Linked DNA regions of Drosophila melanogaster. The protein of the gene in region 1 purifies or fractionates together with the protein of each later gene. This does not show direct contact. Each region holds a gene or a part of one and is shown on either strand. Other genes may lie near its edges. The genes, in order: lin, sob, odd and drm.

Region 1 (9,066 bases):
GCTGTGTGGGCAATCCCTATCGATTTTCCACCACGAGCGGCAGCCAGGACTCGCAGTCAACAGATACACACGGTAATTGCTTGGTAAACAGTAAGCACTCGGCTATGAAATCTCTGGCCGGCGATAAATTTGCTCTGTCCGAAGAGATTGGGCCACCGCCTTGTTCTCCCAAACACCGAAAAGCAAGTGCCGTGAGTAGGGACACGGATACAAATAACCATCATGTGGTGCCGCTGGGGATCCTCGTGGTGCTCTGCACTGTGTATCTCATGGTAGCCGGGATGCAGCGCAACTACAGGCACTATTTTAAGCCGGGCGTGGCTGCCTTCGACCTGCACCATGCCCAGCCGGAAGCCATGGCCGACGCCGAATTGGATGTCGCCGCTCCAGATGCATCGTGCCAGAGGTTGGACGTTTTCGGAAAGGAATCCAATCGGAATCAGGCAGTTTCAAGAAGATCCCAAGGCAGGCCCACGAAGAGAACCAAAAACGGCACTGGAAATGGGGTCAGCAAGCAACCTCGTCGTTTGATAAAGTCCCCGGAGGGGCACAAGAAGAAGGAAGTTGGCAAGAAGAGTAACACAGCGGAGCCCATTATTTACCTGTTCGCCCTTGTGTTTGTCTATCTGCTTCTGAAGGCCGCCTCGGACATCAACCAGCACTACAAGTCGGTAAGGATAACCCGCATTCCATTCCCTATTGCCACGTGAATAATCCTTCTTCGGCAGCAGAACAAAGGGGACAAGCGACTGCGCCGGTGCTCGCTGCAATCTTATGCCCAGATCCACAAGCAGGATCGCCGGTCATCAAAAGGTATTTCACCAAAATCTTTGCCAAAGTTTTAGCTCGCTGGGGGCCAGGTGCCTAGCCTATTACACCGTGTTAACGAGGGATCAAGTGAATTGTTATCCTATAAATCTAAATGTATCTACCACTATGTACTGAACTAGCCAATCTTCTCTACTCTAAAGCACCAGTTTTCTGACTTTTTCGGAAAATGTATTGTTGTGTATTGTGTATCTCTCGTCTGTCCTCAATCTCTATACATCTATACATCTGTACATCGCACTTTTCGGGCTCGATTATGCGTTTGATATCTGTGTTTTTGAACGACCTCCACTGTTTACCTCCTCTTCACCTATCTGTGAAACTGTACTGAATCCGAATATAAGGTTGTACATACTCGAATGTATATTACTGTCCTAAGTGTACGTAATCCTAAAATAAATCAATTACTATGTGCTTTCCTGTGATCAATTTACATACGTAGCCGTGTTAGCTTGCGTTTCATTTCCTCCGTTCGATTGGGCTTTTACGCAATCCTCTGCGATCCTCTCTCACCCCGAATCCCAAACTGACCGCTCTACATTTCCCCAATGCATGCCAAAAGTGGATGAGTCCCCCATCTTCCGGCGCAAGCATATAATCAGCGAGGAGCGTTCCGTATCTGTGGATCGCTTCAAGTACACGCTAAACGATGAGGGAGGCTTCACCAGGTCCGTTCCGCTGGTTCAGGAGTATCACTACAGGGTGGTATCTCCTTTGGCCAGCCGACCCAGTCAGCAGCATCCGCATAAGCCGGGATCCGGAGAAGCCCGTTTCGGTAAAGAGTCCCCACAACAAAGTGACACGTCCCATAAGACCAACTACTTTCTTCTCTAGAGCCTCGTCTTAACCGTCGCTCCTCGGTTCCGATCAGCATTAACTATCAAACGGTGCACGTATCGAGTCCACATCCTCCGGAAATGGCCAGGCGCGGCTCGGTGATAAGCCTCACTGGGCCACCACCAGAAGTCAGTGGTATGCCAAGTGGAGCCGCTGATCCAAAGCGGCGCGTCCGCATGATAAATCGCCATTGAAGTCCAGAAGTCCAGATGAGATCAGGACACAGCCCAACGAAATTGCAAAGAGACTACAGTATTTTAACACACCATTCGGAAACAGAAACCGCACACGTTGTAGTCCTTCTTAATGCGTTTCTTTTAATCAGTTAATTATGTTATATTATTCAAGTGTTTTAAAAAAACGTACAAAGAATATTCTTCTCGAAGACACCGAATTTACGCCCACTTCGGCGGGCAGCCGTTTGCCGCAGCATTTTGCCATCCTATTGTACATTATTCTACTTAGGGCAAGATTAAAAAAATCTTAGGCTAGCGTAGTGTTTAGTTTGGAATTCAGTACCTATGATATAACCATTATCTACGAACTAACTACGAACTTGTGATGCTCATTACAATTACAATGACAATTACATACAGCTGGGTATGTATCTGGGTTGAAAGACCTGCTGGGCGAAGCGGATGAAGAGGGTGCAAGATCTTAACTACGGTTGACGCGCTACTGGATCGGGGTGCGGAGTTATGGTCGGAGTGGTTGGTCCCTACGGCTAATACACGTATTCTACAAGGCCTCCATCTTCATCGAATTTTGCGCTAGTTTCTCCTATTCCATTAAATATTAAAATAAATTACGTATTTTAATTGCATGTGGTTGAAGTTCGTCCCTGCGCCGCATTCAGCTCAGCTCGTTGCCCTCGTACAGGCTCTCGCAGCTCTCGAGCAGGCGCAGCACGGGGGAAATGTCGTAGGGGTAGAGCTGGCGCGACACGAGGCGGGATATCTGCAGGCGCAGCCGGATAAGAACGCCCATCGCCTCGTCTAGCATGGCGCTGCCCATGCCGAAGGTGTGACAGCTGTGCACGAACATCGTCCAGTTCATGCGGATGTACTTGAGCAGGCGCAGCAGGTAGAGCAGGAAGCAGGTCTCGTTGCTCACCAGCAGGTCCAGCAGCAGGTCCGAGCTGTTCGATGTCATCTTGAGGAACTCCAGGAATGTGTACACCGGATTCAGCATGGCCACCAGCTCGGGGAAGGCGTTGTTGCGGAACGATATCCCAGACGTGACGTCCAGCGTGCAGACCATGGCCTCGATCAAGTGGTCGTCCTGGTCGTCGAACAGGTGGATCAGGATCTTGCTGAAGTGGCACTCCGGATGGAATTCCAGCGTCTGCTTTATGAACGTCTCCAGCTTGCTGAGTACATCGCGGATCGAGCGCTCAATGAGCATCATGTCCTGGAAGGCATCGTAGTCGGTGGAATCGATGGATGAGTCGGAGGAATCGCTGCGTATCTCCTTCACCGTCACCGCTATCGACTTCAGCACCAACAGCACCATCTTCTGCAACAGTGTCTTATCCATTTCGATAAGGTCCAGTGGCGCACCGTCCTCTTCGCTGTCCCCTGATTGCGCGGCATGTGCCAGGGTAATTGTTCCATTGGCGTACACCATCGGCTTGCCATTGTAGCCGATCAGACTGACCATGTTGTCCGGCTGTCGCCGCGGCAACGACTCCAGTATGCGGAAGCCGCGCACATGGCAGACTATCTGGTGAGCCAGCTTGCACGTCTCCTCGGGCAGCATGTCCTGCAGCGCCAGCGTGGAACCATAGCACAATGCCTCGTTGAAGAGGCACAGCATCTGCTTGTACACGGTGCAGGAGAGGCTGTGGCTGAGCAGCAGCTCAAACTTGTCCAGCTGGGCGTAGTAGGGTCGCGTCTCGTCGATGGACAGATTGGCCTTCACCGAGATGATGTTTTCCCATAGCTGCAAGAAGTTGAGCACACAGTGCTCGGCCGCATCCTGATGCGTCGGCGCCATCAACTCCGACATGTTCTTCACCAGCGTGGGCCACTTGTGCTCCAGCTTTTGAATGGTGATGCACTTCAGGTGCGTCGTATCGAAGCTTTCCGAGTCGGTTAGTGTGACCACATGGCAACCGCTGGGCATGGTCGTGGACTGGGGAGCGGGGTGCGGCTCGTAGGCGACGTTCATATCCTCGCCAAAGTGCCGCCGATGTCGGTCGCGGTTGTCAGGTGCTTCCTGCCCCGTCTCTCGTTCACCTTCCGTATCCTCGCGAAATTGCAGTGCAAAATAATTGGTGGCTAGCGGCTGCTCCTGCACGGGAAAATGCATGTAGCTCACGGACGCCTCTGTCGAAAGGGGCACTACTGACGAGGCTGCACTTGTACTATTCGCCGACGCCATCCAGTCGTCGTCCAGCGGATGGATCTCCATATCCTTCCACTCCACTATGCGCTTGATGATGTCCAGGCTGAAGTGGATCTTCTGCACGGCCGCCTGGTCAAGCTGCTCGAAGTTAAATAGCTGGTCGACGATCTTCTGCAGCCACTCGTCATTCAGCTCTTGCTTGGCAATCACCAGGAATGCGGCTAGCACACGTCCCGCCAGAAATTGCACGTAAGAGTTCTCGTAGCCGGCCAGCACGATAATCTCGTCGATAAGCTTGTGGTCATTGCGAATGAGTGCGTCGCAAACGTCCATTATCCGCGTGCAGATGAAGCCCTTTGCGTTCTGCTTCAGGTAGATATCGAACAGTAGCTGCAGATTCGACAGAAACTGCAGCAGCTTGTTGGTGGGCCACTCCCGCAGGTAGGCTATCCGTTTCTGGCCGTTGGTGTCCTGTGAGTAATGCGACTGGAAGGGCTTGCGCAGCGTTCGCTCCGAGACGCCGCACAGGCACTGGCGGGTCAGGGACTGCTCGAACTCCAGCATATCGTCGATGGACGTGGCTGTTGTTGCTTGCAAGCAATTGCTCCTGCTGCTAGCATGACTGCCATTGCCGTTGGTCGTGTCGAGGGTTAGCAGGTTGGGCAATTTGGCCGCCCTGTCCACTTCGTCATGGGCGGATTCAGGCTGGCTGTGCAGGTCTGTGTCCCCGTTTTGTGGCAAGATGTTGTGCAGCAGCTGGGCGTACGACGCCGCCCGGGAACTACAGGGCGTGGTGGTGGGGGAGTTGTTGGCGGTGCTTGGCGTTGACAGCGAGTGCGAAGAGGACGAGGAGAGCGAGGAGCACAGGTGGCTGTTGCTGTTGGCGTCCAGGTCCAGTATATCCGGCGGATGGGGCGGCTGGGGTGGCAGCGCCTTGGAGCCCACCTTGATTTGCTGCTCGATCTTCTGGCGCTTGGTCTGCGGCTGTTCGTTTGATGCGGAGGTCGTGGAGGTTGCTACCGTGGAGCATGGGCACACATCGCCCGTTCCGGCTCCAGATCCTGCTGCGGATGAGGTGTCCATCCTCCGCGCTGACGTACCCGACGTCCTGCAAATGGTCTGCAAGCGAAATGCCCGGTGAGCAGCGAATCTAAGCGGCGGCTCGCAGCCACATACCTACAAACCCGATTCCGACAAACAGCTTCCGTGCTACGCGCACACAAGGTTACGTGTGCAGACGCTGCTGCCTGGCTTCGTGGGGCGATTCTCTCGGCTTCCTGAGACACACTATGATTTCTTGGGGGCGACGAGGGCGCTCTAGCTGCCGCCAGGTGCTCTGACTGCTCCTCCAAACATTTTAAACGGCCACAATTCGATTTTCACACACTTGTTGCACTCTTCGGGCCAGCGACATGTCAATGTTTATGTGAGTTTCACTGCACTCGCGTTTCGCTTCGTGCCCGGGCCAGTCGATTGGGTCGTGTGCTGTTTCTCACTTTTTAAGCGCCTCCGATTGTTTCTCTGGCACTGCTTTTATTTTGGTTTTATTACACTTTATTATGTGGGAAAAAACAAAAATTAAGTGCGCGTCGCCATCTTTTAGCGAGTTTCAGCTACCTGGTAACCCTACTTGCGCAGCGTTGCCAAACGGATCTTGGTATTTGGCGTTAGCTATATACATAGCCAGGCTCGCAACCATAGCTCTGTCGTCACAACTCAATTCACATATATTTTACTTTCCGAAATGTATTATTTTTTAAAAATAATTATTGCACGCTTATAACTTTAGCAACAATGTTTGCTAAAGTAATTCTAATAACAATGACTCCGGTAGTTTTAATTTTCTAATGCGTGATAATAATTAAGTGCTTGAGAATTATAAGATTGCAGAGAACTTAACAAAAAATATTTTGTGAGAAGCTAATTACAGATAACAAATATTTTTCAATTTATATGTGCTAATTTAACGGGTAACTTTAAAGTAATTTTAAGAATGTTTTTATTTTTACATTTTTGACATTAAATAATAGAAATGCTATTCGATAGTCATTGACACCTGACAGCCCTGAACACCGAGCGTGCTGCCACATCGAGATAAAATTATGCCGTTAGCGGCGGTTAAGTCGTTTTGAAAATTTCAGTTTATGTCCTTTTGCCTACCGGTGCAGACGATCTAGGAGTAGGAAGTTCTCAGTTCATCTCCACGCGGCCACACACAGTAAATTCGCACACACTGCAAACCGATCGGCACATTAAAACAAGAGCGCGGCCGACGTGGCAACACTCGCTTGTTTTTCATTTGACATTGAAAGGTGCTCGCGAATTCCAGAAAGGACGTTGGAAAATCGGCAGCCGCTCAGTCAGTACCTATCAAAAGCAAACACGGCGAAGTTGTGGTGCGGTGCTCTGGAGATTTGCCGGAGCCAGATAATAGGAACTACCCGACGCCTAAGCAGCCGGATCCGCTATTATAAGTGAAGTGTCGCGAGCGGTCGAAGCAGTTCGCCTGTGCTCTCTTCTCCGTGTGCTACTAATTTGCATCGAGTGCTAAATAGTCCTCCCTTGCCCTTCTACTCCGCATCCGCCTGCTGTTCCTGCTTGGGATAACTGAAGTAAGATGGCCGGCCCACTTCCTCCGCTCAACCAGGAGGCAGCGTTCCAGAAGCTGCAGGAGTACTACGACTCCAAGGGCAAGGACCTGAACATCAAGGACCTGTTCGTGAAGGATTCCAAGAGATTCTCAAAATACAGGTGGGTTTTTGTGTCGATTTCGCCTCAGAGGGTGGAAGTTACGTATCTAGTTCCCGCATACATACACTCATTCGTGTATCCCCCATCGGCAATCGTTTATTCATCGAGTTGCGCTTTGCCCACTTTCACTTTCACCATCGGCTGTCGAGTGTCGCCGCCACTCGATTTGTCCTTGCGTAAGGTCACAGCAACGACCTCCGAATCGTACTTGCTCTGAGGTCAAATGTTTTTCGTTTGTTTATCAGCCTGCGCCTGCACACCCAGAACGATGGCGAGATACTGCTGGACTACTCGAAGAACCGTATCAATGACGAGGTCTGGGATCTGCTCCTCACCCTGGCCAAGGTGCGCCGCGTTAACGCCGCGCGGGACGCCATGTTCTCCGGCCAGCACATTAACATCACGGAGAACCGCGCCGTCCTCCACACGGCCCTGCGCAACCGCGGCACGGATCCCGTCCTGGTGGACGACAAGGACGTGATGCCCGATGTGCGCGCCGAACTGGCCCACATGAAGGAGTTCACCAACATGGTCATCTCCGGCGTGTGGCGCGGCTGCACCGGCAAACAGATCACCGACGTGGTCAACATCGGCATCGGTGGCTCCGATCTGGGCCCGCTGATGGTCACCGAAGCGCTGAAGCCCTACGGCAAGGGCCTTCACTCCCACTTTGTGTCGAACATCGATGGCACTCATCTGGCCGAGGTCCTCAAGAAGGTCAACTACGAGACCACCCTCTTCATTGTCGCCTCAAAAACTTTCACCACCCAGGAGACCATTACGAACGCCACCTCCGCCAAGACCTGGCTCCTGGAGCATTCCAAGGAGGTAAGTACAGCGAAAGGTCGAACATTAAATGACCTTCATTGATAGCGCTTTAAGCAAAGATAACCAAACTAATACAATGAACCATCAATGGACCCTAGTGATTTTTCTTATCATTCTATAAGAACCATTTTGACGTGTTCAAGCTATCAAATCAATTTAATGTGCTTATCAAATGCAGCCTATGGACTTAATCAAAGGCTAAATCGGATTTCAAATTCGAATTAAATGTTTCCAATATGAAATTCCACTTGCCTTAAATGTAAAATAGATAACGCAGCCAAAGCAAATAGTTACATCACAACATTTTAGTCTGGCCTATATTTGCAAACTATTTTTGTTTTGTTTTAGCCTGAGTCCGTGGCCAAGCATTTTGTGGCCCTGTCGACCAACAAGGAAAAGGTCACCGAATTCGGCATTGACAGCACCAACATGTTCGGTTTTTGGGATTGGGTGGGCGGTCGCTACTCCCTGTGGTCGGCCATTGGACTGTCAATCTGTCTGTCCATTGGCTTTGAGAACTTTGAGCAACTGCTGGATGGAGCTCACTTCATGGACAACCATTTCAAGACGACACCATTCGAGAAGAATGTAAGACTCAACTGAGAGTTAAGTAAAATGATTATAGTTAACCATTTTATTGGCTTTCCTAGGCTCCTGTTATCCTGGCGTTGCTAGGCGTTTGGTACTCCAACTTCTTCAAGGCGGAAACACATGCCCTCCTTCCCTACGATCAGTACTTGCACCGGTTCGCCGCCTACTTCCAGCAGGGCGATATGGAGAGCAACGGCAAGTTCGTCAGCAAGTCGGGCAAACCCGTCAAGTACAGCACTGGTCCGATCGTGTGGGGCGAGCCTGGCACCAATGGCCAGCACGCCTTCTACCAGCTCATCCACCAGGGCACCCGCCTGATCCCCTGCGATTTCATCGCTCCCGCCCAGACACACAATCCCATTGCCGGCGGCAAGCACCACAAGATTCTGCTATCGAATTTCCTTGCCCAGACGGAGGCTTTAATGGCCGGAAAGACGGTCGACGAGGCCAGGACCGAGCTGTCCAAGGCTGGCCTGTGCGGCAACGAGCTGGATAACTTGTTGCCCCACAAGGTGTTCGTCGGCAACCGGCCCACAAACTCGATTGTGGTGAAGAAGGTTTCACCTTTCACCCTAGGCGCGTTGATTGGTACGTCTCACTGTTTCAGCTCACGAGCACCTATTAATGTCAATTGATTTTGCAGCGCTGTACGAGCACAAGATCTTCGTTCAGGGCATCATTTGGGACATCAACTCGTTCGACCAATGGGGTGTGGAGCTGGGCAAGCAGCTGGCCAAGGCCATCGAGCCGGAGCTGGATCACTGCAACGAGGTCTCCACGCACGACAGTTCCACGAACGGTCTAATTAACTTCATCAAAGCCAATTGGAAGTAATCATGTCTGGCTATTTGTTGCGAATTAAAAAGAAATGTTTACACAAATGCT
Region 2 (7,962 bases), on another chromosome or scaffold:
TTTTGTCTGGGGCGGTGCGGAAACCTCAAAGCGAATTTAGTGCGCTCCCGCCCCTTCCGCATCACTCCACCACCTCGTTTCGGGGTTGTCCCCTCGCGTTTATGACGACAATGCGTTTGCTGTCATAATTATTAGTCAAACACAAACAATGAATTTCATAATTTTCCCATCAATACGGTCCAACAGCCGGTTGGAGCGACGTTGGAGCGTTCGTAAACTTCGAAAGCGTTCAAACATCCGCTCTTCCCGCACGCGCCGCTCGGAAAGAATGCTCCACTCTTGGCCGGAGGATGAGCTGGATACTACGACATAGCCTGGGGCTCTAGGGTACTCCCAAGGGGGTCGTGGTGAGGGTAGGCACTCTGTGGAAATGAAGCCGTCGCGCATAAAGTGTGAAATTGCTGGCAATTCGCAGAGACGCTCCATTCTCGGCGTTTCTCAGTCTTTGGAGGCTGTTTAGAGCCTGGACTAATGGGAGATGCCAGTGCACTCAGAGAAATAGTTGACACTAAGCTCGTACAAAAAGGTAGTGCAGACACAACCAGAAACAGACGATAGTTTCATTGAAAACTGCCGCAATATATGAATAATACCAGTACGATATTTTGGATGCTTGTTTTTAAAATATAATTGCTTCAAATATTTTGTCATTATTTTTCTCAGTGTCGCTTGCACGCTTGTTCCATTGAATAGAACAATATCCGCGCAAATATTTGCAGAGAGCAGCAAGCAGGTCGTGTTTAAAATGTTTAACCACCCGAGGAGGAGGCTGAGTGGAGGTGGGGCTGAGCAGCCGGCTGGCCACGGCAAACAAGCCGGCACAGAGCCGCGGGATCTGGTCAAGAATGGGACCCAAACTGGGACGCAGAGCTCGGACTCATCCATAATTGTTGTTTGATCGTTGTAATTGGTTTGGTTTGGGTTTGGTGCAGCTGAAGCACAGGAAATGCAACAGCAACAGTGGAGGCCCCATAAAGACAACATTGCAGGCGGCTTTACATTGATCCGTTTAACGATTGACAAACGCGCCGATCTTTTCGGGAAGTCAGAGTCAGAGTTAAGGAAAGAAAATAAAAGTAAGCTAAAGGGGTGAGATGGCCGTGGAAGGAAACGCGGTCGGCATTCGCTTTTGAACTGCACTGTATGTGTTTGTGTCGTTATGGCCGCATCTTTTTGTAGTCGATAATAAAAATTGTAAACTTTGTGGCAGTCTGGAGCTGGAGCTCCACCCTCGTTCTGGAATGGACAGCCCACTTTTCGCTATAAAATCTCTTTCGAGCTCTTTCAGCGGACACGCCCGGAATTATCTGGATGTTCTTGTGTGGGAAATGGGGTGCCCCGATATCTATATATCACACTCTAGTGGGTGGTCCTTTCGACCCGATGAGATAGCGCCTGCTCCACTTGTCCACCGGCTTGTACGACATTATTTGACTGGAAATGTGGAACAGCCTGGAAGTGGTGGGAAAATATGGGCATTTCTTTGTTTTAGCCCCACTATTGTCGATCTTGTTTTGTTTGTTGTCAAAGGCTTGTTGAAAGAGGTGTTTGAAGGTGTGCACCTTAATGCTACATTAATTGCCCTTGTTGGCACTCGAGCGATAAACATCGGTACAAATATTTGATTTTAGTTCGCTACAAGTGCGTAAATAGTGTAAGTACAAGAGTGGAATCAAAGCGGTAGAAAGGTAGAAAGGGTGAGAAAAACGTTTTGGAAAATTCTTGAATTTTGAAATGAACAACAGGCCTTTGGAAACTCAAACAACTCAAACTCCATACCCGTGGTAAAATTCTAGAATATTCAAATTATAATACAACTAACGTTCTTTTTAGTCTCAAGAAAACCTTTCTATAACCATAAGCCCAAGTCAACAATAAAAAGCCATGTGCACAATTTCCTTTAAGCTATTGTCTTTTATTCGATCGTACATTAAGAGTCCACAATTTAACTTAATATCTAACGTTAATTTACGCAAAGTCAAACTTTCCTGCTATGCTTACGTCACAAATATCCAAGGCTTAAACCAAAGTAGCTAAGGCTAAACTTACACTAAACTAAATGCTGTTTAGTCGTACTAAGATTACGATTACGAAATGGAGGGATTCGTATTCATGAGAGCTGCAATTGAGATTTTATTTTATTGAGTGGGTATCAAAGAGTGAGGAATCAGCTGAGGAAGATCAATCGCTGACGGCCACCAAATCTCTGGAGGATGCTGCAGTACTGGCGGAGCCCGTGGGCAAGCCCAACTCCGAGCTGGAGCTGGAGCCGGAGCCAAATGGATCACTTAGGTTGCCACCCACCACACCGCCCACTCCGGCGGACAAGTTATGCGTCAGGCTGTGACGTCGCAAGTCGCAGTTCCGCCGGAAGACTTTCCCGCAGGAGGCGCAGTTGTACGGCTTGATGTCGGTGTGGGTGAGCAGGTGGGTCTTCAGATTGGAACGCTGGTTGAAGGAGCGATTGCACACGGGGCACTTGTGCGGCGACTCCTCCATGTGCAGGATCTTGTGGACAGCCAGAGTGCGGGACTGACAGAATCCCTTGCCGCACTCCGCGCACTTGAAGGGCTTCTCCTTGGAGTGGATATATCTGCGGGTTACCAAAATGAATGAGGAGAATGGTGGGTTAGATTTTTATGGAAACCAAATGCTAGTCTTTTGTGACAGAGTGATTCTCAAGAGAAGGATCATTTCTTATTATACCATGAAGTAGCTTATCCGCTATTTTTGACCTACCTATGATCCCTCAGATGATCCTGCCTCCTGAAGGCCTTGCCGCAGATGTCGCAGGAGTAAGGCCTCTCGTCCGTGTGCGTTCTTTCGTGGATGAGCAGATTGTAGGACTTGGTGAACTGTCGGTTGCAGAATTTGCATATGAACTGCTTCTTGGACCGCTGGGCTGCCGCTGCCGCCGCCGAGCTGCCCGCCTCCTCCAGCCCTCCTACCGCACCTGCACCTACGCCGCCAGCCGCTCCCGAAATGACACTCATCTTGTCCTGGTACATGGTGGCCTGCAGCGAGTGCAGAGCCGAGTCCGTTTCCGCCTGGCTGAAGGCTGAGGGATTAAACATGAAGCTTCCATAGCTGCTGTCCAAATCTCCCGCCTCGAAGGAGAGAGCATCCTCGCCATCGAGCAACGGTAAGTCGCACTCTGCTGCCAGTTCTGCGGCTGTTGCGCAGTCCAGCGCCGCCTGTTGGCTCGCAGCAGCTGCTGCGGCAGCCGCAGCAGCCGCCACTGCAGCACTAACGGTGCCAATGGAGGGCAGAGGCACGCACTTGGATGTTGTTGGTGTGCTGGTGGAGTTGCTGTTGTTGCTGCTGGGCGAGGATGTGGCGGCAGCTGATGCTGTCGCTGCCGTCAAAGGGGGTTCCCCCGAGGAGCTGGAGGAGCAGCTCGACTTGAGCTCTATATTGGCTATATCGATGAGCGAGGGTAAGGCATTGTTGTCCGCTTCACTGCTGCTGCTGTTGCAGGTGGTGGCGTTGTTGCTGTTGCTGCTGCCGGTGTTGCTGTTGGAAAAGCGAAATACATCCGATTTCCCGGTTAGTCGCTGCAGCGCCAAATAGGATTCCAGGGCCTGGAGATTAAGAGCTGCTGCTGCCGCCGAATTGGCCGGCAGTAGGGCGGCCTGCTGCAAACTGCTGACCATGGTTCCTTGCAGCGAAAGAACGACCGCAGCAGCCGCTGCAAGATCGTTGGTTGCTGCGGCCGCCGTTGCTGTTGCAGCTGCCATGGCTGCGTTGCTGGTCTTACTGCCGATCGGCGATGTTGCAGCGGTGCACTTGTTGCCGTTGCTGTTGCAACTCTCGCTTTTCTTGTGCGCTGCTGTGGCTGTTGCTGCGGCACTTGGCTTGTGGTTGTTGTTGCTGTGGTGCTTCGATGTTGCTGCCTTGCTAGCTGATGATGCTGCTGCTGTTGCGCTTGCCTTGAGTTCTCCAAGCGCCTCGGCAATATCGCTGCTTGCTGCCGGTGAGGCTGCTGCCTTGGCCGGCGAATCGCTGCAAGTTGCAGCTGCAGCTGCAGCAGCAGCAGCGGCACTCAAATGCTTAACTGCCTCCATAAAAAAGTCGAATCCACGCACACACTCAGCTGGATATCGGGATAAAGCCTCGGGCCAGCGATGTTGCTGTGTTGCTGGTTGCCGTGGTGATTTTTTGTATTTTTTATTGTTTGGCGCACCTACGCAGGTTGAGAGGTTCGGAGCGCGTCCACATGAATATTAAAAACCACACGCCATCATAAATCACGTCTTAGTCACGCTTTCAAAAGTCATAAAAATCGAATTTGACGTCTGGCCAAAAACGAAAACAACAAAGTGCAGTCTCAGCCAAGTTAAGTCAAATTGGCAGGCACGCTTTTTCGATTTTTTCGACTGAAATAATATGGTAGTTCTTCTGGCTAGCACACGCGAACAATTTGGGTACAATCGATCTTTAAAATTATGTGCAGTTACTATTAGTTAACTTCCGTTTAATGCAACTTCCGGTCTTAGCCAACACAGACACATACACGTGTTGAGCTATGTATATATATATGTACGTATATATAATATTGTTTATTTTCTCTGATTCTGCCAGTTCTTCTTCTTCTCTTGACGTCGATCAGCCGTCGCTGCACACAATATTGGTAAAAGATCACGGAATAACTAAAAGTCCATTGCTCTGCGGACATATCGCGGACCTGCGCTCACTTGTTGATCGCCACATCTCTCTCGCCATTGGCGATCGCTCCCTGCGAGAGCGGATGAGAGCGTGGCCCACAAGATCACCCACGAAAAGAGCGAGCGGAGAGCGGGAGAAATTCAGGTTGGCCAGGTGCAAACTCGTTTTGTCTGTGTATTCTGAGCACCTTTACTCCCGCTCTCACCCACACACGCGCATTTAAATCAGAGGTAGAGCGAGAGCGCGTGCAAGGTGAGAAAGAGAGAACCGGTTTCTGTGGTTAATATGCCTGATTTTGATTTTGATTTTGAGTGGGTGTTTTGCCCACCCTCTCTTTCCCTCCTGGTCGTGCCATCTCTTTCTCGCCCATCGTGCCAGCTCCCTCTTGTCTGATAATATTCGTTTATTTATATAATTTTTGCAAGTAGTTGTTTATGATTCTTTCTAGGAAATTTCGCAAGCTTTGCTAAGTACTTTTAACCTTGGAAACTGAAGAATTTTGACGGATAATTAAAGGTTTTAAATATAGATTTAGGCACAAGTAACAGATGCAGCTTACATTATGAACTTGCCAATAAGAAGAAATCTCATATTATAGCTATTTTTACAAGTTATTCATACGAATAATTTATTACTATATCAAGAAAACATTGTATAGAGGGAAGAAAACTTTAAGCGAACATCCCTTAATTCACTAAAATCAAATGTGATCGGCGGCCATAAAAGGATTGCGATCGCCTGATAAGGAATTACAAGCCAGATGTTTTCTAGACATCTAAGGAAACCGTGGAGTTCCTAGTAAGGAATATGGAACAATGGTCTAATCTATTAAATATTAACGATCTTAAAAGGCTTTGGATTGGCGGTCAGATTGAAACACCTTGAGATGGTTTCCTGGAAATTATTACACTTAAAATCCATTTGCAATAGTGGAGATTTTTCCGAGTGCATCAACCTGCTAGCACTTGCAAATTGTGGCCATTAGTCAACGCGTTGATTTCTTCAGCCCCAAGCGCAGCCAGTTGATTGAAATGATTCTCATCGCACGCCATCTCATCGCCGCAGAATCGCAGACGAAAGAGCGAGAGAAGAATGCTGCCAGAAGAATCAAAAATACGCTGGCACAGCAAACCCAATCACAATTCGAATCACAGCCGCAATCATAGCTGAGACTTTTCAACTGTCAATTATTTCCTTATTCTTTATGCAAAGCCCCCAGACGCGAGTGTCCAGTGGGGGAACTCGGACTTAATGCGCTAAACGGCCCAAGTAAATGACCAATAATCATGGGAGCTGCCAGCTCTCCGGCTGCCGGTTGGTTGGCCACGAAATAAGCAGGAAAAAACTGCTGGAAAGAGCCAGTCCAGCACCGAGTGCAATTTATTTTTGCATTAAATTGCAATTTGGACCGGACTCTCAGTTTTCTACCATTTATACAGATATTATCGTGATTAATAATGCACAAACATGTCATACGCTCGTTTCGTGTGTGTTTGATTGGAGCGCATTAGGATCGCGGCATTTAATGATCCGGGAGTCTGGAGTCTGGAGACCAGAGATCCTCAGTCCCACGGTAGCAATTATGTCGCTTAGTGGCCGGCTTACGGATGATGATGATCGTCGCGAGGATGATCTCTTGCTGGAGATTGCTGGATCCCTGGATCATCCTGAATGGCGGCGCCATCAAAAGATCTGCAATCGGGATTGCGCATTCCAAGGCAAGCTCAGTGGTATTGACACAAGCTTCCTTTAAATGAAAGCCTCGGCTTAATGTCGTTATATTTCGATAGTCGCGCTTTTAAATGCTCGTTTCCTGTGCCGCCTCAATCGGAGGTTCTCCTCTTCAGGGACACGATCATCGATTGCCCGGCTCCACTTCCACTTCGACTGGCAGGTCCCCAATCCCCAGTGTCCAGACCCATCCCAAGTATCGTTGTCAGTCTCAAGGCAAATGGTACATGATTTCAAATTTCAAGTACCAGTTTACATAAAGATCGCACAGGCTTAAGCTAGCTGCACTGTGAAAAAAGTATTTAATGATTTTCAAACTCAATAAAAAATTGTATCAATAGCTTAAGAAATAATTAACCCAATGGTGTCGAAAGATTAGTTAACTGAATCCTTTTAGAAGAGAACTCCCCAGTTATGAACAGATAGGTTTCAAGAACAATTTCCCATATACATAGATGTTTTTTTAAGTGCAAGGGTAAAGGAGAAACCAGTCCCTCCTGCTCCTGGCTGCCCTATCCTTGCCCTTCCTTTCGGCTCCTTTCCTGGGCCGAGCTGGGTGGGGCGATCCGAGGGAATGCCTTGAAGCCTCACAACCATCTGTCACAAGGTCCCAGTTCCAGTCGAAGTCGCATCGGAGCCGAAGTGGAAGTCTCCATCTCCAACTCCAACTCCATCTTCAGCTCCATCTGCGTCTCAGTCGAATAAGAATGCGCTAAACTTGATTCCTTCGAAGCGAGCGCCGAGTGCGCATGCGTGGGCTGGAATTACATGATCACGATCAGCGATAAAACTTGATGTTGTACATAGCAGGCGACATGGGAGCGGGACGGGATCCGGAACAGTGCAAAAATGGGGGAGGGAGGAGCAGATCGGTACGGATCGATCCATCGCCCCATACAAAATGTCGCAAAAGTCGTACAAATCTACACGGAGCTGCAAGATCACAGCCAGGTTCACTTCAAGACCCAGCTGAAACAACGGGACACCGACAAACGATCCCGGATGCACTTGCAAAAATTAAAGAGAGCCTATGTATCTAATACATATCTAAAATCCTTCCTCAGCTGGTAGGCATCCATTTTCACATATCTCTGCTTCTTCTGCTTTCCAGCTTTCTCCCTAATCATATTCAAAACTATTTCAAATTCCAGTTACCCCATTTTATTTTTGCACGTGTAAAGATCCTCGTGGTCTTCGGGCCTTTGTCGATCGCCCCAAGTCGTGTCAAATTATTGATTGCTGTCTTTTAATTTGATTTTGATTTTTCCACCGACTCTGTCATCTTTCCGATCGCAAACGACGGCTAAATATGAAGGGCTGGGTGGGGAGCCAGAATTATTAATCTACTGCTTTGATTTGAAGCGACACACCACGATCGTGACAAAGAAAAGTAAAAGTCATAACACACATCTAGGGCGGCGATAAGATCGCCAAGATCACCGGCTTAACACCGATCATCTGGCCTATTGTTTTGGAGTGACTTTTTTTTTATTGGAACCCAGTAATTATCGGGGGCGTACGTTTTGGGTGCCTCAGTCTCAGCCAAAGTATTTCTTCGTTTTGGGA
Region 3 (7,427 bases), on another chromosome or scaffold:
TTGATATGAACATATATCACATAGCATTTTCCGAATTATGCAAATCACTTTCACATTAGCTGTGATTTATATTGATGGTAACCAACATATTTGTCATTTGTTGTTAAATGTTAGATATCCATTTCTTAACGGTTCCACTTTCGTAAAGCTAGTATCAAATTCTTAATAGTTAAAAGTACACAATCGTAGTAATAAAATACTATTTTAACTTTCGTTAAGATCCTCCTAAAAGCATTCAAATCGCAGTGCATGGAAATGGTGAAGTGGCAATGCGATGTCTGTGGCTGTGAGCCAAAAGGCGTTGCGATGTCGGCATATCAAAACCACTTTTAAAGCTGACAATCTAGACAATGTACAATTACGAGAGACAAGTTTTGTTTGTATATATATTTTTGGGCTTGGCTCACTTGACAACTCTTGTATAGTTTTAGATGGGTTTCGAGTTATGTTACTGCGGTAATGCTGTCATCATCATCTATGAGTGTTTCTGTCAACGGCCATTTTAAGCGTGTCCTCGATTCGATTCGATGGCAAATTGATTTGCAACGTTTTAATTGAACACCTCAGCAGTTGACCAGTTGGCCAGTTGACCAGTCGTCCAGCCGACCTGTCGACCAACCGGCTTACAACATCATCATTCTGGCTTTTCAGGGTGGTCCCGGCCCAAAGGCGAACAGGGCCAAGTGCGAACGTGTCCTGGACAATGGGATGTGCCCCTATGCCGATCCTTCCTTTTCCCCCGGGCAGCTCATTAAAATTGCATGCTCGGTAGGAGCAGAAAATAGGAGGAGACTGCCCCTGTGGCAGTAAATGGCTCACTTTTGGCAGGCGACTTTCCAGCACGTCCTGCCACTACAATTTACAATGGCAGGACATCCACAGGACACGGAGCTGCATGCCACCCTAGTTGCGGAACCGATGCGTTTAATTGTGGCTCAAAATGGCCCAAAAAAAAAGGGACTCACAACCCCATGCGGACACATATCAATCTGGTCGGGATAACTCGCCCTCCCGCTGTGACTTTCACAAAATATTTTGGTTGTACGCAGTGCAATTATGGACAAGGTGTGTCGAAATGCCAGGACACCAAGATCCTCGAGGTCCTTAGACTGCCTGCGGCGAAGTGTTGCAAAACACGGAACACAAGTCCTACGGTTGACCACCCGACCAACTCGGCCAGATAAGACTAAGGTTAAGGTTTGGCCAAAGTCAGCAGGATATGCATGGCCAAGGGGGCGCGGCCAGGATACTTGTCAAAAGTAATCCTGGGCAAAAAAAAAGGCATCTATGTAGACATCAATTGGCGAATACGTTGGCACTTTTCTGGCACGAAAACAAAGCAAATCAAAGCCAACACAATGAGAGGGCCCAAATCAATTGTACATGGCCATAAGGCCCGAGAGTATGTCATCAAGGTGGAGAAAATGGAAAATGGAAATGCTAATGGAAATGGAAATCGAGCAGCAAATGAGGCAGATGCAGACCCCTCATGCGGGTTCCCCCCGGGGGTAACCAGAACGACCTCAGGCCTCAATTAAAGACAATCCTATGCTCGATTTTGAGACAAAGATCACAATCTGAAATTGACAGTTCTGAGTAAGAAGCGTGCTAAGAGAAATGCAATTGCCAATGGAAGAAACTAGAAAAGAAAACCACCATTAAAGGAAATCAAACATACCTTTTGCAAGGCATTTGGCACGTTCCCGATTTTCAAGAGAAGCCACAATGAAAACTGAACTAAACCCAAAACTGAAACACAGGCCATAAATATTTGGACCACACCTCAAAGTTAAACAATAACCATAGTGTTACCGAAATCGAAACCGATTCATGACAAAATCATAGCAAAACTGACATCAAATTCAATTCGATTCGATTTCATAAATTAACTTCTGCGACAGTTTGAATATTTTTGGTGGCGAGACTTCTGCTTACTTAATCGGCAACCTGAAAAATAATAGAGCTGCTTAAAAATGCGCAAATCGAGATCTGCATAAAAACTGAGTTATATTCGGATGGTTAATAAATTTTGACAGCTGCTGTTTGATGGTTCAACTTATATGGTCCTACGAGTTCAGTCTACTGAGTTATATTCGCAGCATGAGAAAATTCCCAAATCGGAATGGCGTGGGATTTAGTCAGCGGATAAGAAAGATTTCAAAGTGATTAAAAGTAGATCAAAATCATTCAGTCCGCTTGGAACTTGAATCAGTCAGTAGGTGGTAGAAGGTAATCAAAAAATTGCTGCTTAAATCTTTTCAGATAACTTTAACTTAGTACACCATAAAGATTATCAAGTTGCCAGTAGAAGTAATGATAAATCAAGGCGAAATTGCCATTGCCAAATACCTGGAAACACAAAATCCACCGTATTCATAAAAAGTCTTATTAAATTTCAGTTGAAAATTACTTTGCGTTTATATTTACGTATTTTTGTGATAACTTCATATCAATACGAATGTTTCAGACATACATATAGACGACAATGAGATCGTTGTGCATAGTCACAATTGCTATAGCGACAATTAAGTTGTTAAGTCTAAACAGTAAGTAATCATGACACTCGTCGGGGTTTAACATTACACAATCGATCGATTGATTTATTCAAGTACTATTTAAATATAATAATTAAAACAGTCTTTCAATAACCAAAGCGGGTTTGAGGTTTGTTTGATTGAGCTATTGTAACATAACATTTGGTTTACTCCATAAGCACTACGAACTGAATGGGCTACTACGACTATAAGGTACATACAATAATAGTTAGATTACAATATAAATTATGTGCTATTTATTAAAGTTTATAGTTTACAGTTGTGTGTGTGTGTGTGTGTTTTGGAATCGATTTGTAGGAGGCTTGTGCTAGCAATACTTTTCATTGGATTTTTCATCAGTTTTCCTCTGCTATTTGACTTTGGCATTTGTTTAACGCAATTGGGATCTGCTACATAGAACCGATTGCACGGAGGATGACTCTTCTGCTCACTGGGTTGCGATTACGAGTTGCTGGCGAGGATTTTCCACTTGCACCTTTGGCCAGAATGCGGGCTGGACTCGCTTGGTTTTCCATTCCAGGCATTTCCCATGCCTGGCGGACGTCCAGCTCTCTGAATCTCTTTTAGAATGTCTCAAAAGAAACCGGATACCGGGTTTCGCTGGTCCTTCAATCTATCTGCTCATGATCTCATCGATGGTGAAGCCCAGCATCCGCTTGGGCTTCTCTGAGCTCGAGGATGACGAGGATAGATCCAGGACAGGCAGATGCTGTGCCAAATTCTCAGGTTGAGGCGAACTCAATGCCTGGTTTGGCACCGAATGTGAAGTGGCTGGTGAGGTGGTCACCACCACCTCCTTGGTGCTCTGCTCGCTGTGGCTCTGGAGGTGACTCTTGAGGTTGGCCCGCTGGTTGAAGCTCCGCTGGCAGATGGGACACTTGTGCGGACCCTCCTCCAGATGGGTGACCTTGTGCACGGCCAGGGTGCGCGACTGGCAGAAACCCTTGCCGCAATCGCTGCACTTGAAGGGCTTGTCCTTGGAGTGGATGTACCGGTGGTCCCGCAGATGATCCTGTCGCCGGAAGGCTTTGCCGCAGATGTCGCAGGAGTAAGGCCTCTCGTCCGTGTGGGTTCTCTCATGGATGAGCAGATTGTACGACTTGGTGAACTGCCGGTTGCAGTACTTGCAGATGAACTGCTTCTTTGGCCGACTGCTGCCAGTTGCGCCGCTGGGTACACCACTCGCTCCACCGGCACCACCCAGTTTCAGGGTGGGCATGGCTCCGAAGTGGCGACCCATGACCGCGGCATGCAGACTATGGAGGCCAGCGGGATAGGGACGCACATGATGCGGATGTGGGTGAGGGTGGTGCGGATGGCCGTGGTGGTGATGATGGTGCGGATGTTGCTGCTGCTGCTGTTGCTGCTGGTAGATGGCTGCGTTGCGGATCCAGTGGTTCATCAACTGCTGGTGCACGGCCACGGGATCGGCGCTGGCTGTGGGATAAACTGGATACTGCTGTGGAGCCTGATGTTGTTGCTGCTGCTGCTGCATCTGCAGCCACAGGCGGTGCTGCTGCTGCTGTTGCTGCTGTTGTTGCTGCTGCTGGTAGTGGGCCATGTGTCGCATGTGCAGCTGGGTGGCCACCGCCTCCTCGCTTATCGCCGGATGCACTCTCCTCAGCGGCTCCTCGGTGGGCGTGTGCGGGGGCGTCAGCATGGGGGAGAGACTTGTCTCGCGCTCCTCCTTGATCACTATGAAATCCTCTTCAGCAAAGTCTAAAAAGGAAGGAATAGAAATGCCCACGGTTAGTTTTCAATTCATATAAATGCAATGCTATGTGAGACTACTTTCAAATATTAATGGAACATTTTTTGAAACTAGTCAAAAAGTGCTAGAGAGTAATGCGCTTTGCCGTCGGCATTTGCCAAGTTGTTCTGAGCCAGTTTTGAACTTGAACCCACCTTGTTCTCTGCTTAAGTTGAGCTCGTCATCCACGGTTATGTTGCTGATGGGTGAGGCCGATGTGGAAGACATTATACTGTCTTTGTTGGCCTTGTGTAGTTTTATTTGGCTTAAAATTGTTTAGTTGCGCGAACTGCACGGTTCACTTTGGCTTAGCACTTGTATCTACGAATGTATCTTTTCTCAGTATATTTCCCAGCTGACTGAGCGTTCTTTTGGATGCGACGTGCCACCGACAACGTCTCGACACAAACTGAATTCGTTGGCCGTTCGCCGCTCTCCGACTCAAACGCTTGAGAATCGAAGTGAAACGAGGCGAGTGGAGTGCTGATATTCCTGTCTCGCTTCCACGTTTGAGTGACTCGTGTTGCTGTTGTTAGTGTTGCTTTTGCTTTTGCTTTTGCTGCTGCTGCTGCTGCCGCTGAGCGATGTTGCTGTTGGGAGTAGCGCTCGTTAATAACTGACTGCAACTGCTGGCAGGGCGACCCGTTTTTGAACCGGCCGAGAAGTGCGGAGGAGGGCGACGAGGGTGGCGAGCGGCCCGACCAACGGCAGCTGCCTGTGGCGGGGTTGAAGTTGTTTGGAAATGGTAGATACGTCCACGCCTACCTGCTGCTCTCGGATTGGCCCTCAGCGTTCGGTATCTACTATCCCATGGATGTGGCTCCGACCGAATGTGCCTGTGGATGTGCATGGATATATGTGCCTTGGCTTTTTCCGTTCCAGCAGTAAGCAAGCGGAAACCGTTGGCCTGACGGTCGCAAGCCTGGGATATTGTTGGTGTTGCTGCTGCTGCCGATGTTGCTGCCGTAGTTGCTGCTGCTGCCGTTGCCGTTGCTGCTGCTGCTGCTGCTGCTGCTGTAGCTGCTGCTGCTGCTGCTGCTTCTGCCGCTGATGGCAGGCAGCCATCGCTGGAGTCCAGCCCGCATCCCAGTCCCAATCCCGAAACGCAGCCCTCCCAGGCGCATGTGCCATCAGCAGGAGCAGCAGCTGCACGAAGGTCCTGTGTCGTCCTGGCGCGTCCCTTCCACCTCCATTGCCATGTCCATACCCATTCCGCGCCAGCTCTCGCTGCTCCTCGTGCCTTTTTAATGTCGTGCTGTCTGCGCCGCAGGATATTGTAATCTATTGTCCCTGTTTGTGTTTGCGCCTGATTCGTTTTCACTTAAATTTTAATTTGCAATACAAATCAGTTTTTTTTATTCCCCCCCATTTTGCTTTACACTTTAATCTGGAATTCAATTAGCCGCTTCAAAGCGATGGCGATAAAAGTTTCGAGTGGGTGGAAACGGCCGTTTGTAGCGAAAATTGATTGGCTTTTAAAAGGGTTTCCGGCAGGATAAGCCGGACATATTTTACAGCAAATTAACGACGAGTTTGAGGTAATGGTAATGTAATTGAAAGACTTTATTAAAAGGATTGTACACAATTACTGGTTAGTTTTGGGTATGCCTTTCACACACCATTTATTTTCGAGTTTTTTTAATTATTTTACTCAGTATTGTATTTATTGTAATTCAGTTGTTTAAGTAGTTGTTAAGTAATAGTTGAACTTTCACCGTTTTCAACTGAAGTGCGACTCGAGCTTGTCAAATCATCTTTAATGAGTTCCTCATTCGAAATGCTTCATGCTACTCACTTGGATAATTATTTAATAATTTGTAATTGAATCGAGACAAGCAGGTGCACTTTATGGGCAGTTTTCTTAACATATTTTGAAGGAAATTGCTTGGAAACTAGAAATAGGTAAAGTCATAGGAAAAGGTTAAAAGATATAAGTTCTGCGGGTTGAATGTTTCCAATCAAAATTTATTGAAGCATCAAATTAATGTAGTTGTTATTTATAGGATATTGTAGTTAAATATCTTTACAATTTTTATTATTATTATTCGGGCTTCTATATAATTAATATTTTTCATATCTCATTTAAAAAGACAAATATTTCATAGCATTCAAGAAAATACGAATTTTCCTCATTAATGAATAGTTTTAAATTGCACATGCCATATTTATGCTTCCGAATTAAATCCTATTCTTCGGTTGGATTTTCCGCCAACTATAAGATATTTCCCAAGTCCGACAAAACATGGATAATGCATATCCTATTATCCTGCTTCCGAATTCCGTACATTCCCATGACTTTGACTTGTCGACTTTCCAGGTGAAGCATTTCCGCAATGGATCTGCGACTAATCCTTTAACTTGGCAAAACAAGAAACATTCCCATTGACTGGTTTTACCCGTATACGGACTTAGGATCCGAGGATCCTGAGACTAAGCCCATTGCGACACACTCCGTCACAAGCGGTCCTTGGCAGGATTGACTTTGGGTGATTAAATTAAGCAATATGTACACAACATTTAGTACAAACTTTCCCAAGCGGCGGCGAGCCAATGATCAAACAGCCTGAATCAATAGGCAAAGGTCCTGCTGCAGGACGTTTTTTCCCAGAGTGCGTGTGTCTGGAACTCTCGGATTGTCGATTTTTGATTTTCGATCCGTTCCAACATCGGATCGGATGTACCGTCGGTTTGCCAGTGTCGGTTAGCTTTAGCCTCGGCGTTTGGCAATTGTCGCCGCTGTTGACGGTTGGCAAACAGTCGGCGAACTTTTCCATTTCAAAGTGACGGCCCGGACTCCGCCCACCCTTTCGGTTCCCTGCCTTTCGGCCTGTGGAGTCGCGAGCGGTAATTAACATCATGTCATAAGTGTACAAAGGCAAATAAATAAATAAATAGATAAACACCAGCGGAGTGGAGACACATGAAAGACACAGGCCGAATATTTCCCAGCACATGATATATGGCATCGCACTGGCTGACTTCCTGCTATATCCATTTGTTGTCGTTACTAATATTGTTACTATTGTTGTTGCGCCTGTCAACACATGGCCAAAAGGATTAGCCCTCTCCCGGGGGAAACACATGTCCCACTATTTGCATGTGGAAAACGCGAGATTTATAGT
Region 4 (7,537 bases), on another chromosome or scaffold:
ATAAGTCAAGATCACGCAACATGAAATCGCCCATGACTCATTAAAGGCAACCGAATCCGCACCTCGGACGCGGTGTTGACATTTACAAATCACCCCAACGTCCAGACAACTGTTTTTCACAGTTGCTAACCTTCGGCGGGATTTAAAATGATTTGTCTTCAACGACACCAACGATTGTTCACCGTTGTCTCTGGGTGTACAAATGTATATACACTTAATATATACATTTTCTCTCAAAGCTTTGCGAAGTTCATTGACGGAAGAGCACTGTACCTACTTCCGCAAACACAGATATTCCATTAGTGGGGCAGGCAGTTAGTTGAGAGATTTCACAAGGCCGAAGAAATGATATTTGAACACCAACTTTCTTTACATCCTACTAAAAAGTTATGAAACGAACTCAAAGATACATTTCTGATAACCAAGATATGAAGGGATACCGTGAGCTTAAATGCTGAAACCTTAATAAAACCATTTGGAAAGGGATTCCTGGCAGACAAAAAAAGACGCCGCATACCAATTTTTAACGAAGTTATGACCATAAATACCGAAGTTCCCATGGTCGGTTTGCATTTCTAAATTAAGTGAGTCATCTTGCAGCCTTCGGCAATTCCCCCGCCGCGTTATGGCCAAGTACAGTTGCCAAATTCTTCCTGTTTTTGGCCACTTCATTAAGGTGGCGCTGTAACAAGTTTATTTTTAATTGGCGCCTTGCGTAGCCGATCGAAATTTATGCCCATCGATGCGTATTCCGTGCTGCCCTCCCGCCCGCGCGGTAGTTAACAACTGTTATTTTTTATGTAATTTTATTTTTGTCATTTCGGCGCCGCTGGATCTCTGACTTCTCTCCCAGGCCTTTTCTTTTCGGGATATATATTTCCCAGATTTACTGGCCTTTTTGTTTCGCCCGGCGTATTCGGGAATTTTTCTGCGCGAAACAAAAGCCAGCGCTGACTGGTAGCGACAAGCGTCTCGGCAAGACCCGATTTCGATATTTATTTATATGTTATGGTGCTTTCAGCTCGCAGCTGGAACACTTTTGGGACTGCGACTGCGACCGGGACTGGCAATGGGAATCGAGATTCGGATTCGGAATGGGATTGGGATTGGGCATCGGAATGGGAATGGGAATGGATGTGGAAACGGGTTCGCTTTGGTGATCGGCGGTCGGGGAGCTAACGTTGACAACAAAAGGCAAACGTCACAGCGGGTGCTGCACCGGCCGCAGACGGTACGTAGTTATTGTCATTATAACATTAATGCCCACTAAACATATTCAAATTATAACACTGAGCCGCGCTCAAGTCCTGCACTCAGAAAAAAAACGTCTTCTCGTACTAAAAAGTAAAAAGTAACCGCGTGGAACAATGCTGGAAGGTCATATGATCTATATTTTTAAGATGTTATTTTAAAGATAATAATGAAAGCAAGTAAATAATAATGAAAGCAACTTTCAAACACTTTGATACCCCGCTTTCGCCCAGTGGGTGAGGTGCACGGGTTCGGGCCTGGGTCGCTGATCGCATTGGTCATGTCTGGTGGGAGACTGGGACTCGGCTAAGATCGGCTCAAAGGCCTGGCCAAAAGAGACTCCTCCAATGTTAATTTGTGTACACAATGTGGCGTCACATTGGCATTTTAACGCCGTTAATCATGCGACACAGGGCGCCTGCATAAGGCCATCCATTCGATATGGATTCTTTGGGTCCGGGTCTCTCCGCCTCGATCGGTCTCGCATTTGGCCATGCTTTGCTTTGGATTTGGACTCGGACTCGCATTTGGACGTGGACTTGTATTAAGTTTGTCTCTGGGAGCGTGGGCCTAAGTGGAGCACCATTAGCCACGGGTTGCTCTCCGGGGTTAAGCACTCTATTTGGCCATTTGCTGGATGCGTCGAATGACGATGGAATTGTCTTCAGTCTGGGGATGGGGCAAAATGGGCGGGGGAGACCTTCGAGAACAGTGAAATTCGAGCTGACAATTGAGTGAGCCCATCAATTTGGAAGGTTAAGTTAGCTGGCCTGGGGCATTCCAATAATAAAGGTGTCCAATGGCACATGGTCTATCCATATTGGTAAAGTCAATCTCATTATATTAACTCAGCAAAACTGAAAGGTAAAGCATCTTCCTACAGTTATAATCCTAATCTTTTGATCAAGTTGGTATATCCTTTTAATCCGTTGAAAATCCAAGCAAAACAATCATCCGAATCCATCTAAAAACCTGTGCAAAGTCATGGCAAATCCAAACGGGCTTAACTTGGCACCTTCTCCGATCCGGGACTTTAAACGGTCTCCAACTGTTAGTATTTTGCAACTGGACATTACAATCCGCTTATGCGAAAAACGAACACCCACAGAGACGGAGGGAAAACTGCCCAAATATTGTATAATAAACTGTTGTCCAACTCAAAGATAATCCCATTAATCCGCACTGAAAATTATTAGTGTTGTGCACACACACATAGTTTCGGACAGGAAGGTTGAGATGTGAAGATCTGAAAATCTGGAGATCTCTGGGAGATCTTCAGCACAGCATGATCCTGACTCTGGACTTTGGGTTTCCGTGTGAAGGGCATGCGAAAGGCGTTAATGCTGCGTGAAATTAGATTTGCAGCGATGGGAAAGAGAAATAAAATGGCAAACTGCAAACAGAGAGTGAGATTATATATGGCCAGATCTCTGGTAAGAGAAGTAAGTGCGTCGGGGGCTTCCACGAAACTCGAGCCGCCTCGAGAGTTACAGTTTAACACCCCGAGATAAATGTGTAGCGGTATGGGCGATAACAGGCTCAAAACTGGGTCCAAAAAAAGGGCTCAAAGCAGTGACACACACGTCGCAGGACGTGGGATATGGTCGAAAGCGATTACCACACTTCTTTCACCTCGCACCGTGGTCATCCCTTTATTTTTTGTAGGAGGCGGACAGTGAGTTGGCAAGGTGCCATTAAAAATTACAACCGAAAAGTGAAAAGAAGAAACCGAAGCGAGAAAAAATGACAATAAAAGGACATAAGGCTCTGAAGACAAAGGCACCGAAGTCCATTTGATACGAATCTAATTGTGCTAATGGCGCAGAATTCCCGGGAAAAACACCCACACACACGAGATCCTGGCCTGACAACAGAACCAATAAGTCGGTGGAAACAATTAGGATGTGTGGCACTGCCACTTCAGTGCGAACAAAGGAATACCTTCGTAACCCCAAACACAAACACACCACAAGATACAAAGATACAATGCGGCAAGGTATGAGCGATCTTCCCTAGATCCATCGCAAATCGGATGGGAATTTCGTGGCCGAAGCAAGTCGATTTCGGACGCTTCTCACCTTCAGCCCGTAAGATATGACAGTTGCTCAAAAGTCGGCGCAGATTAGCTGCCAGCTGAGCCCATTTACCGTAATCGCTTAGCTAATTAGACTCTAATTGATGGAGCGCAGCGGGAGGTCCAGACGAGGTCAAAGATCAGACAGACGGGAAAGAAATGGTCGCGGGAAAGCAGTAAGAATTTCAGAGGTCACGAAACTCTTACAACAACTTTACTTCAGTATAACTATGTTAAACGAATTTCCCTATATTGTAAATGTTAGTCCTACTTCCAGAAAGTTCCCCTAGAATATGGGTTCTGATTTCTGCGATTTCGCACCAGATTCATTGGAATTTTCGCACAAGTGCCAAATCTCAGGTATTTCAAAGTACCTGACTTTGACGCAACTTTTTGAACATCTGTTGTTAGCTTGAGCCGTACTCATTGGTATTTCATAATCCAATGAAAAAAGCACAACTCCATGACTCATAGGCAAATAACTTGTACCAAAACGGCTGATGATGATATGCCAAACATTCTTGGCGATGATTTGCCGTGTTTTGTGCGTCCGCGATCAACCTTCGACAAACTAGGCTTTTTGTTCTTAATGCTGACTCATTAAACTTCTCAGCTTCTATTCTTTCAATCTGAAAAAATGCCGACGGCTTTAAGAGTTTTCAATTCCTAGACAATTTCAATGGAAAACGACTGAAACCTTTAAAAATAGAACAGGTTGAAAGTTTAGGATACAATAAAAACTTATATTTGTTCTGAAGAGAGCTCAAATGTTTTTTTAGACCAACTTTAATAGAAAATAATATTAAATAGTTTTCTTTTCGAAAATTAATGAGCATTTTTTTATGAGATACAAATTATTTCTTCTTCATTCATTTCGGAAATTAATAACACATTTGTACTATACAATGAGAGATCAATAAACTCGGTTGTATTTCAAGTAGATCACCCATTTTGGGGAATTCGTGTCAAGAAGTGCGGGTAAAAACTTTTTACAGTCCAATAGGGAAATATTCGGACTTGGCGTCCGCCATTTTGGCAAATGGCGACACTTTCTCACGCACACAGAGGCCGAAAAGCTCCGTTGGCCACACGCATGCCATATTAGACGCATCGCCCCTCTCCCTCTGGCACACTAAAGAGCCGAAGTGAGAGGCCCGGGCAGAAAGAGAGGCCGATACACGCACCCGTGTTACGTGTGGGGTTTACTTCTTCTTTTCTTTGCTCAGTTTTCAGTTGTCCAATGAAAGCGGCGTAAAACTGGTAGCGAAACAAGTGTGGAAGGGGGAAGAACGACGAACAGAAGAACACGAAGAACGCCATTGAAGAGAGGAGCTGAAGAAAGACTTACCCAATGGGATGCACTGGAGTTACGCGTTCTTCGGACTCGAGTAGAGGCTAACCGATTTCTATAGCTGAGTTTTGTGCGATTTTCGTATGTCCGCTGAATGGATAGATCGATTTGTATCTCTTTTGAAGGTACTCGCGAAGGAAATGTTACTGATGTTGTTACTGATACTGTTACTGATGAGAGGGAACTATATACGCACGCTCGAGCGGCACAAAGTTGAATGAATGAATGCTACTAATAACTGAAAGAAATAGTAGTCGCCTCTGCCGCCGTCCTCTGTCGGCGTCGCTGCCGGCGTCGCTGCTGGCAAGTTGAGGAAGCGAGATCATCGCTCTGTCCCTGTCTGTTACTCAATTCGGTGGCACTGTGTGAGTGTGTGTAAGTGTGTGTGAGTCATCCGAAGAGAAACGAAGCAAAACGAAGACCGGTAGCCGAAGCTACTGCTCATGCGCAGCGCTCGCTAGCCATCCCTTTCGCTCGCCCTAAGTTCTTATGCGTAAGTACAGAAGCTGGCAAACGGAAGCCACAAAATGGCGTCTCTTCTAACGGAAGCCAAGCGTAAAAGTCACAAAATGGCGTCACTTACCTATTGCGAAAGCACGAAATTCCGTTTGCTATTTGGCAAGACACAAATTGTATGCAATTTCTGTTTGGTAGCACTGTGTTGGGTAATATTATTAATAAAATATATTTCACTTCCGAACGCTTCTGTGCGCGAGAGTCAACTGCAAAGTTACGATCGAAAACTTCAGCTTGATGGGTTGAACTTTTTCTGTTTTCCTTTTTTTGGTTACCCTCTTTTTTACAGCCCTCTCTCGGTTGGCTGTCCCTTTCCCACGCACTGTTTGGGTCGCGGAGAACGAGTTTTGAGTGTTTCAGCTGATTGGTCGGAGGAAAATGAGCTAAAGAGCGAACTGAGAAAACTGGAGAGTGAGCGAGCGAGAGAAGGCTACCTGAGTTGAGTGGTTTCGAAGGCGTTACCTGAGTTGACTGTTAATTAAGCTTAAGTAAGCCAACATTTCAATTAAGTTTAGGCGACTAATGAGTGAAAGGTGTGCTGGATAATGCGGGCTGTAATAAGCTTGCGATTTCTTTGGATTTCCTCGGACTTCTTCTCTGTCTTTCTAGCTGCTGTTTGGCTAAAAAGGTAACTTTCTTTCACTTATACCTGTGTATATTTTTATAGATGTGGGCGTGGCTTTGGGCGGCGCTCTGTCTGTCCCACTCTTTCGCGCCGTCTCGCTCGCTCACCCCCTTTTTAACTGCTTCTTAACCCGTTTTGCGAGCGAGCGAGAGGCCAAATATAAAAACCAGTGGCAGAGCAGAGCAACCGTATTACGCAGTGCTCAATTTTTAGTGTATTTATCTTCTTTTTTTGTGGAGCTCCATTTTGTTTTCAGGGCCTGAGAAACTTTTTTCTCGCATTTCCTTTGGCTTTGCCGCCTCCGCCTTTGTTGTCGCTCTTCTGCTTGTGTGGCCTCTTTAGACCCGAAAAAATAATACTACAAAAACACCATATTGATGGTCTGTTTATCTTTTGTGCCTCACCATATCTGTTTATCTTTTACGATTTCTCAATGAAATCTGAAAAACTGTGTCGTTCATTCAGCAAGAAACTTCATTAACTTAACACCCAGTGTTTTTAATTAGGTGCGCCAGAAAAGGATTGTTTTTAATTAAGTTTTCGCCTGTCCATAAAGCTTAACAAATTATTTTCGACTGCTTTTGGGCATTTTTAAGTGCAATCCGTTGGCAACTCCACTTTGATGGCTTCATCTCTGTCCGCCTCGCTTTTGTTTCACTCCATCTGTGTCCATCTGTCTTATTGTTTTTCGGATCAAATTTGCATATTTTAAATGGCCAATCAGCAAACTCGAAAAGGAGACGTATCGACAATTGTGAGGAGCTTCCTTTTGAAGGAGAAACTAATTATGAACCCTCCAAAGAAGAGTCTGAAAAATGACTTGGCTTACTTGGCAATTTTGAAGACTTTGTTTTCAGAGGCGAGGAATGTGATGCAATATTTCACTCGATGTTGAAAGGTTGTTTGGTTCACAAAGATTATTGTATTTATTATCATAAACAAACAATAATTTGACCTTCACATCCATATGTAGTCATTTTTTTTTGGATTTTCCGCATCCTTTACTCATCTATCATCTTCAAATAATCTGTCACTTAAAAAGCCCCTAAATTTTTGACAAATACCTCGCAACTTTCTCAATCTAACAACAAATAAAGTTAGGGCCAGCATAAATTCCAACGACCCAAAACTTGTGCGCCAGACAGTGCACACAAAAGTATTAAATTTCATTAATTGCCAATATTAAAAAGGCAAACAAAATCGAACAGTAAAAAAAATGAAGATTGGTGAAAAATTAAAAATTCATACGGCAGCGATGCGGTCACATAAATTTCGGAGGAGGCAACAAAGACTACAGCTAAGAAAAGGCAGATGCAAAAAATTATAATAAATATATACGCGAAGATACACGGATGAATCTGTGGAAGCAGGCAAATGTCGAAGACGTGGGCGTTGAATGGGATCCGTCGGGGTTTTTTCGGATTCAGTTTTTATACTTTTTGGTTAATAATAATGAAACTGGACCGCAGCCACCGCAGCAAGGCGTTGTCAACAGTTGGCGACGATGATGCCGATGAAGCTGATGATGCTGATGATGTCGCTGGTGCTGATGATTCCGGTGATGACGAGGCCCCGACTTGCCTCCATCTTAAGCTCTTCATTTCTTCATTTGGCACACGGTAGTTGGCTGGGCTGTCATTTAGCTCCAAGACTCTGGTTCTCTTCCAAGGTGTGCGAGTGCTAAGAAACTGGGTGTATCATCTCACTGAGGGAAAGGCAA

What was found.
Region 2: the proteins of lin (region 1) and sob purify together in Drosophila melanogaster (affinity purification with western blotting, with the first as the bait; one study listed by BioGRID). This does not show direct contact.
Region 3: the proteins of lin (region 1) and odd purify together in Drosophila melanogaster (affinity purification with western blotting, with the first as the bait; one study listed by BioGRID). This does not show direct contact.
Region 4: the proteins of lin (region 1) and drm purify together in Drosophila melanogaster (affinity purification with western blotting, with the first as the bait; one study listed by BioGRID). This does not show direct contact.

Annotation. Positions count from the first base shown.
Region 1 is NT_033778.4:8,911,129-8,920,194, reverse strand, and holds lin (lines), read right to left. Parts: upstream 5,672-9,066; 5' UTR 5,188-5,671; intron 5,131-5,187; 5' UTR 5,095-5,130; coding exon 2,518-5,094; 3' UTR 1,961-2,517; downstream 1-1,960. Other genes in the region: CG8248 (uncharacterized protein), read left to right, coding at 105-671, 729-845; CG34219 (uncharacterized protein), read left to right, coding at 1,381-1,603, 1,663-1,859; Pgi (phosphoglucose isomerase), read left to right, coding at 6,629-6,762, 7,008-7,590, 7,939-8,178, 8,241-8,769, 8,825-9,015. UniProt on the Drosophila melanogaster protein: Has a dual role as a segment polarity protein and as a modulator of the Abd-B protein. Required for Abd-B to activate the transcription of genes (including ems, cut and sal) that are involved in posterior spiracle morphogenesis.
Region 2 is NT_033779.5:3,576,116-3,584,077, forward strand, and holds sob (sister of odd and bowl), read right to left. Parts: upstream 4,655-7,962; 5' UTR 4,065-4,654; coding exon 2,740-4,064; intron 2,594-2,739; coding exon 2,182-2,593; 3' UTR 1,898-2,181; downstream 1-1,897. Other genes in the region: CG43815 (uncharacterized protein), read left to right, coding at 149-313. UniProt on the Drosophila melanogaster protein: Pair-rule protein that determines both the size and polarity of even-numbered as well as odd-numbered parasegments during embryogenesis.
Region 3 is NT_033779.5:3,601,826-3,609,252, forward strand, and holds odd (odd skipped), read right to left. Parts: upstream 4,932-7,427; 5' UTR 4,534-4,931; coding exon 4,461-4,533; intron 4,275-4,460; coding exon 3,169-4,274; 3' UTR 2,399-3,168; downstream 1-2,398. UniProt on the Drosophila melanogaster protein: Pair-rule protein that determines both the size and polarity of even-numbered as well as odd-numbered parasegments during embryogenesis.
Region 4 is NT_033779.5:3,537,114-3,544,650, reverse strand, and holds the start of drm (drumstick), read right to left. Parts: upstream 4,919-7,537; 5' UTR 4,674-4,918; intron 1-4,673. UniProt on the Drosophila melanogaster protein: Putative transcription factor. May function redundantly with odd and sob in leg joint formation during the larval stages, acting downstream of Notch activation.